2 linked regions of the Oryzias latipes genome follow. The protein of the gene in region 1 purifies or fractionates together with the protein of each later gene. This does not show direct contact. Links are inferred from orthologs where the notes say so. Each region holds a gene or a part of one and is shown in the gene's direction. Other genes may lie near its edges.

Region 1 (4,205 bases):
CAGTTTTTAAAAAAAAAAAAAAACACTAATCCCTCTAATCTGTTTCACAAAGACACAACACAGGACATCACACACCAAGAAATTAGCTGATTGATAAAAATGAAGGCCCGTACACACCGGGACGAATATTCGCCAGGCGTTATTCGCCAGCGTTTTTCGCCACGTTTTTTGTGTTCACACCCAGGCGATTTTCGATGACGATGAGTGGAGTGAACATGCAATTTCATTCCCTGACATTAGATGGCGCTTAATGTAAACAGAAATACTCCTGTACACAAGGTGGCGCTGCGCAGCTTTACGCTTCTTAAAGTCGCTTTTCACTCAGAAGAAGAGAGCAAGTATTTACACGCTTGTCAGAATCAAACAAAGAAAACATGAATATTTCAAGCACCAGTAGCTCCAACTGGTGCTTGGTTCGGGGATGTTTTAGAATGTCCGTCATTATTTCTTCGCGGCAGTGTAGACGCTACTTGGCGTCTATCTTCTTCGCTGGTATGTGTGCTCAGCAAGGCAGTTTTGTGTTTGAGCGCCCCCAAGTTGTGTTTTACTCTAACTTCAGACACGTGAGCAAAAGCGCCATTCTCATTGGTCGAGTAGATTTCGACGCGACGCGTCGAAAAAAAAAAACGAACCCGAGGCGTTTTTTTTTTGACGCTTTAACGCGTGGCATTTTTTCACATCGGTGTGCACACTCTCGTTGGTGCCCTTTGTTTAGTCACGAGGGGTTAAACGTCGGCGAAAATCGCCGGCGAAATTCGTCCCGGTGTGAACAGGCCTTGATGCCAGGAGTCCAGCGCTAAAAAAAACGACAAAAGAGCAGAGAAAACGGCATGATTTGATTTATCATTAAAGTTTCCAGACTTTGTTTGTTTTGTTCTGCGGCATGTTCATAACTGTATAATTTTGACAGAATATATTTTTTTGGAGGGCAAAATATTATACGTCATTTTAGGTTTAACTTGATTTATTCTGTATTAATATTCCTGTCTGTTTTATTCATATTTATGTTCAAAAAGTTAAGTTTAAAAAGTTTAAAAGTTTAGCTTTAGTGTGTTCAGTAAATGTTTATCTTGTTTGACCCAAAACCTAAAGCGTGTTTTTAATTTAGGCCCCCTGTGTGACTGAGTTTGATACCCCTTTAATACTAATTATAAAATTCAGGCATTTTGTGTAAAATGTTAAATAAAGGTAGATAAAGATAGAGACAGAAGGATATCGTGAAATTTGTGTATGCGGGGGAGGGGGGGTTACTCGCCCGGGGAGTAAGTCAGTGTAGAACCGCCACTGGTAAAATGGTCACATGAAATCCTTCCAGAGTATGTGCATTAATGCTGAATGTCCAGCAGGTGGCGGTGCTGACGCAGTTACCCCGCGAAATACGGCAAAGAAGAGACGAAGAAGAAAAAGTAGGCGGTTCTCGGAGGCAAATACGGAAGTGACGTCACACAATAGCAAGGACGTTTAAACGGACTTTATTTGTTTTATTTTTCCTAGATTTGCACCCAGAGTTCCAGTTGATTCCGTGACTGTATGAGGTAAGACGGCGCGGGGCGTGTGTGTGGGCCTGTTGGCGGGAGCCAGGCGGTGGGGGCCGCTGTCGGCCCCGGTTAGCTTAGCTGCAACCCCGGAGCCGCGAACACAGCAGCACTCAGCTGCTGAAGAGACATCTAAGCAAACAGAAGTTCCCACCACGAATGTTGAAATTCACCTGAGTCAGGGAATTGGCAACAATTTTGGCAGGTAGAAAAGCAGCACACCAGCTCCTAGCAAACACGAGCCCCCTTCTTGTCTGTGGTTATTTGTGATGTTGTTTTTGTTGACCTAAGGTCAGGGTCCGGGGGGGTATTCCAGAAAGCAGGTTGGTTATGTGAGTTACCACGGTAAGTTTGAGGCTAAGGAAGTTGATAACCTCAGCTTTCGGTTCCAGAAATGGAGGTATGTTTCAGGATATGAAGTTGCCATAGCAACTCATGCTCTGAACATAACCTGGTCTGGAGCAGGTTTACCTGAAGGTTAGTTTGTTTTTAGAGAGGTGAAGCAGCATGGCGTGTCCATTTGAAGATGATTTAGTGGATGAAGAAGCTCAGTAATACTTTTTCCACCATGAGAGGGTGATGAGACCACGTATGGATGTTGGAAAAATAAACTTTTTTACATTGTTGATCTAACTTAATTATTTAATTAATATATATACTTTTTTTGTTAAGTCAGCTTAAAAATAACATGTAGATTTCAGACAGTTATTTTTACTTTCATTCAAATTAATTCAATTAATTAGGTGTAACTTTGGTGCTGCTGTTAGATCGGCACCGCAAGGGATTGTGGGATATCATTCCCTTTGCCTGTCTGGACGGATTTGGGTTTAAGTGTGGCTTTTTGACCCAATGTGTTTAGTTGTTTAGCTTTTTTACTGTGTTTTACCGAGTTATTTTGTCCTACTAAGCTTATGTCTCTCCACCATGAGTGAGAGCAACGGAGAAGATGATGAGTTTACATAGCACCCCTACCAGTTATTACTGTAACGTCTACGACGGAAATTTTTTTAATCAATTTATGCACGCCGTGCATTTTTTCCCCGTCCTTTTTATTGTTATAATAATGAGTAAACCTGCTCCGGACCAGGTTATGTTCAGAGGTCTCTGGAGCAGGTTTAGTTGAAGGTTAGTTTGTTTACAGAGAGGTGAAGCAGAATGGCGTGTCCATTTAATAATAACAATAATAATAATAATAATAATAAATTTTATTTGTTAGGCGCCTTTCAAGAACACCCAAGGTCGCTGTACATAAAAGTGAAAATAAAATAACAGCAATCGAATGCACAATAAAATATACATATAAATAGGCCAGAAATAGGAAGTTATGGGGGGGGGGGGGGGATAGGCGAGTTGGAAAAGATGAGTTTTCAGTGTTTTAGCGAATTGTGAGAGAGACCCAATGTTTCTGAGGTCCGGAGATAGAGAGTTCCAGAGCCGGGGGGCAGAGCAGCTGAATGCTGACATGGAGGGCCACATTTGGCCCGGGGGCCTTCAGTTTGAACACATGTGCACTAGACAGGGTTCCAGAGCAGCTGAATGCTCTGCCCCCCATAGTGACAAGGCGAGCAGTGGGGACATCCAGATGAAGGGAGGAGGAGGATCTGAGGGTACGGGTGAGAATGGCCACATGAACAAGATCTGATAGATATGATGGAGCAAGTTTGGCAGGTAGAAAAGCAGCACACCAGCTCCTAGCAAACACGAGCCCCCTTCTTCTTGTCTGTGGTTATTTGTGTTGATGTTTTTGTTGACCTAAGGTCAGAGTCCGGGGGGGTATTCCATTCCCACCCGTACCCTCAGATCCTCCTCCTCCCTTCATCTGGATGTCCCCACTGCTCGCCTTGTCACCATGGGGGGCAGAGCATTCAGCTGCTCTGGAACCCTGTCTAGTGCACATGTGTTCAAACTGAAGGCCCCCGGGCCAAATGTGGCCCTCCATGTCATTTTATGTGGCCTGCGAGAGCATAAAAGTTTTTATTTTCTTAAAATAAAAATTGGTGTGTATTTATTCATATCTAGGGGGAATTGGACTTGAAATATGGGATTGGGCAACTAAACATTAGGACTTAAACACTGTCAATATAACCTAACCTGACAGGAAAAAATTTAAAAGGATTTATGCTAGAGTAACACGCAAACATGTGTTTTCTATGCAGCTGTAACTGTCACTTTAAAAGTTACAATAAATAAATAAATTAGTGATTTGACATTAAGGAGAAGTTACGTTTATTTTTCATTACATTTAGTTGCATGTATAAGTTATATCTGGCCCTTTGAGGACAGACACTATGCTGATGTTGCCCTCGGTGAAAATGAGTTTGACACCCCTGGTCTAGTGGGTCTAGATGACCCAACTCCCAATGTTAAAGTGCCTAGGATAGCACAAGGGTTACGTAGGTGTAACTTTGGTGCTGCTGTTAGATCAGCACCACAAGGAATTGTGGGATATCATTCCCTTTGCCTGTCTGTACAGATTTGGGTTTAAGTGTGGTTTTTTGACCAAATGTGTTTAGTTGTTTAGCTGTTTTACTGTGTATTGTCTAGTTATTTGTACTGTTATATTTAATTCTTTCTGCACCATGAGTGAGAGGGAGGGAGAGGATGATGAGTTTATTTAGCACCACTACTGCCAGGTGATGTAATGTTAAAGTCAGAGACATGGTATATGAT
Region 2 (4,297 bases), on another chromosome or scaffold:
TGCGGGTTCGTGCCCCGACCCCCCTCCAGACACCAGGGCCACCTTCCCCCTCAGGCTCTGGAGGTCAGAGCGGACCACCACCCTGTGGCCCTTTAACAGGGACTGGCCCCCGGAGGCCCTGACCAGGCCGCAGAGAGCTTCATCCACACAGCTCTCCACTGAGTTGATCAGCTTCTTCTGCGGCTAAAAGAGGCAGGGAACACATTTATGATCAATAATGCTACTTCACCTTATTCTGTTTAATATAGAGTGACTTTATAATCTGTGGAATCACTAAAACCCACAAAGATTGACGTGGAGTTATTTGTTTCTAAAATGACGGAAGATTCACTTATGTCTATTGGGAGAAGAAAAGTTTAAAATTCTTGACAAAAATGGCTTAAATGCTAATCTCTACTCAATAGCAAAGATCAGACTAATCTTTGTAAACGATATTTTATGATACCGTTTAGGTAAATAACGTGAAATGTCCCTAAAACCCGTGAAAAAGGCTCTTAGCTAGACCTCGTTATCACTGCTCGGACTCTGAACCCTGAAGTGGGCGCGCGGCACTGCTAGCTTAACAGGGCTTTTAATACAACTTTATAATTTAAATAATCAATAAATGGGCGCATAGCTGATTGGAAGTTTTTGAAGATCAATAAAAAACACATGTTGTACCTCCATTGAAACTTTGGTTTGTCTCGTCCAGCGTCACAACAGCAACACGCCGATGCGCTAAGTTAGCTCTGGTTACGGCTAAACCGGAAGTGAGGTAAATTTATTACAAAATAAAACAGAAAAACCGGATGTTAGGTCTGTTTGTAACCAAATCAATCTTATAAGAATAAAAGTTGAAAGAAATGTTAAAACCTATTAAGTCCTTTAAAACCAGTTACTATTATTTTTTTAAAGGAAATGAGCCCTATTTCGATTTTTCTATGGGCTGATTTTTTACTTAAATAACCGAAGACACAAATAAGGTGTTGTAAGTAAAACATTAGAGATTATTTAGTAAAATGAATATCTCCCGTATTTCAAAATAATTTTGTAGTTCATAGGTAGACATCACTTTAAATTTATTAAAAACGTTTGGTGGCATTTAAAAATGTCGTTTTGATGCATTTACTTTATGTATTAATAAATGTGAGGTCATGTCAAATTTTATTTAGATATCTATTTATAGGAAAGTCTAGGGGCAATTCAATAGCTGAATTGAAAATTGCATTGTCATCTGTTGAAAATGTATAAGTTAAAAATTGTAAAGGTTTAAGTGAAGGTGTTGGTTTGATTACATAACCTGGAACAATTATTGAAATTAACCGCCTTTACAGTTTGCTTATTTGAAGTCACTTATTTGTTGTCAAATTAAATTAATAAACGTTAAATATGTCCTTAGTTACGAATACTGACTTTGTAAAAAGTTTTATTGGACAAAATGGCAAAAACTAAGGAAATCGCCGCTCACCTGGCCTACTCCGTAACAAAATCGAGCGAACTTTGTAGTTCCCTGCTGTGTGACGTAAGACGCGCAGCCCTCGCGCTCGGCTCAGATCGGCGCAGCTCTGAACTGTCCGGATCAACATGCAGGATGGCGAGTGTGGAGATAGCCGCCGAACACGAACGGATTCTGCGGGAAATTGAGAGCACAGACACGAACTGCATCGGACCGACCCTCCGGTGAGTCACCGCCTCGCCGTCCGCCGCTGGAAGGGAACCGACCCCGCGGTGTCGCTATGCGGGGGGAAGTTCGGCTAGCTCCAAAACTTTAATGTACATGCTTCCATTATCGGACAGCTATCCGGCTAACTTTAGCAAACACCAAAGCTAGCTAATTAAATCCCTCCAAACCGGCACCTAAACCTTTACAGGACCTTCCGACTGACTAATTGGACTCATGTTTTTAAACTGACACTTTTATTTAATTTTTGTTTTTAAACTCTAACGAAGTTATCTACAGGTATTCGAGCCGTTTTTGATCACTTAGCTGATTAAGCTAACTAATTTACATTTTTCCTCACTGTGTTTTCGGGGACCTCTCAATGGAGAACTGCTAGCCGAATAAAAACTACTTCCCGTTTTTTTTTTCTTGGCTCCAGAGTTAGTCATTGTACAAATGTGCTTTTATTTTAGAAAAGTTTATGTGGTCTTCTTAACGCAGGCTGTTGGCTTTGGTTGTGGTATCAGGGAGTGTCAAGTGCAGCAGCTTGACAAACCCTGACTGTGTCTGCCTGCTCTGCTGCATGACTGATATGTCAGACAGTCCTCTGTTATCTGTCCAGACTCCCACAGAGAAGACTCTCTCGTTCTGGATCATGTTGGATCTTTTAGGTCACAAATTCAGCGTCACAGTGGCATTCCTTCACCCTCATCTGAATCTGCTTCGGCTCTTTCTGTTTTTTTACACTTAACCAAAAGAAAGCCACATTCAACATTTGATCCGATTGCAGGACGAAATTTAGCTAATGTTGTAAAACTTCACATTTTTAAAAATGTTGTTTTTTTGTAAAGAATTTTGTTTGTTTTGGTAAAATGTTGGGCATCACCTGATCATAATACTACCACCACAGAAAGTGAATAGGTATGATAATAGGGAGATCTTTCTTTTCAATTTGACATGTTTGCATTGTTTTTAGAACTTTGTGCGTTCCAGGTCGTACCTATATTCTTGTTCGTAGATGTGTTCTTGGTTGTATGTGTGTTTCAGGTCGTACGTGTGTTCTTGTTCATACGTACGTTAATGTTCATGTATGTGGTCTTGGTTTTATGTGTGTTCCCATTCATACGTGGGTTCTTGTTCACATGTGCGTTCTTGCTGGTGTATGTGATCTTGGTTGTATGTGCGTTGTTGGTCGTCCGTTTGTTTTTGTTCTTGTGTTCTTAGAAGCGGTATTGGGTGTATATGTGTTCTTGTTCGTAGATGTCGTCTTGACTGTATATGTGTTCTTATGCATTCCTGTTCATGTGTGCATTCGTGTTGGTGTATGTGGTCTTGGCTGTACATGCGTTCTTATATATATGTTGTTCTCGTTCATGCGTGCATTCTTGATTGCAGCTGCGATCTTGGTTGTATGTGCGTTGTCGGTAGTACTTGTGTGTTCTCGGTCACATGTATGTTCTTGCTGTGAGCAGCATGATAGGTTTGTGCCTGTAAAATCAGATGCAAAGGTTTCTGTTTACCGACGGCGTCTCGGCGCTCTTGGCTGGCAGTGTTTGCGGCGATTGTCCGCAGAGGAAATGGGCAGTGAATGAAGAGGGGAAATGCAGCTGAGGAACAAGGCTATTCATGGCTTATCAAAGGTGTGTGTGTGTTTTTCTCCCCTTCCTCTGTGTGGAGTGTTTTCTGCTCATCCTGAGTCCCTCCAGCCGGACCCTTGGATTTTTATTTTTGTGTTAAATAGACTTTAAAACACCAAATTAATGCAGATGTGGCACTGATCTGATGGCCTTTGAATAGCTGTCATCAGTTCGGGTTGGCGGTCCATTTAGGCCATCCGGAGAGGCCGTGTGGGCCGATCCAATCTGACGGGGTTGTGCGACACCTCTGGGTGCCACATTCCTCTCCTGGGAATCGGTGTGTGGCGTTCCAGGCCTGACAGCAGTGTTTCTTAGTCATCTGCTCACACTCTGCTGTGGTTTTCATCTTTTCCAGCATCTCCTTCCTGTTCCACTCTCAGCTTTTCCACTCTTCCTCATAGGACCGGTTTTCCTCGCCATCCGCACCGTCACTGGCTAAATTTAGTCGGGAGTGAAGCACGAGAGAGTTTCAGAGGCAAACGCAGCTTTCACAGCTGAGTCGCTCCTCTGTAGATGTTTGTACAGCGCTAAAGGACAGTTTTTATTCATAAATAACACAATTGAGGATTGTATGTTTTTTGTCCTTGGCAAACGCTGTTATATCTTCCATAAATGTCTCTTTTCATCTCAGTTGTTTGTTGTTGTTGTTTTTTTTTGCATCTGTCAGATCTGCTGCTTCATGTCGGGCTTTGGTTTGAAGATTTTCCCGGTTCCAGCTTCCTCTTTGTTCTCGTAGCACCCATACAGGGGTTGACCCGCATGGGTGCTGTAGGTTTCAGGGTAGGCTGGGTCCATGGAGGGTCATAGTGAAGAGTAGGGCTGCACGATATGAGCAAAACTTGCGATGTGCGATATTAGTGATCAATATTGCGATAACGATATAATTTGCGGTATATAAACAAATGACAAAAAACAAATGACCCTCGTTGATGTAGGAGGCAAACATCTAACATGAAACGGCTCATCTGATTGGTCAACATCGGAAAGGGTCCATCCAATTGGTCAAATGCATAAATGGATT

Evidence for each region. Proteins that work in one complex are often made in the same cells at the same time.
Region 2: the proteins of exoc3 (region 1) and exocyst complex component 6B purify together in Homo sapiens (affinity purification with mass spectrometry; 3 studies listed by BioGRID and IntAct, counting the BioPlex papers as one, with this or other methods). This does not show direct contact. The link is inferred for Oryzias latipes from reciprocal best matches to the Homo sapiens genes EXOC3 and EXOC6B.

Annotation. Positions count from the first base shown.
Region 1 is NC_019875.2:4,994,531-4,998,735, forward strand, and holds the start of exoc3 (exocyst complex component 3), read left to right. Parts: upstream 1-1,403; 5' UTR 1,404-1,535; intron 1,536-4,205. UniProt on the Homo sapiens protein: Component of the exocyst complex involved in the docking of exocytic vesicles with fusion sites on the plasma membrane.
Region 2 is NC_019876.2:5,494,211-5,498,507, reverse strand, and holds the start of exocyst complex component 6B, read left to right. Parts: upstream 1-1,491; 5' UTR 1,492-1,570; coding exon 1,571-1,659; intron 1,660-4,297. Other genes in the region: tkfc (triokinase/FMN cyclase), read right to left, coding at 1-183, 661-666. UniProt on the Homo sapiens protein: Component of the exocyst complex involved in the docking of exocytic vesicles with fusion sites on the plasma membrane.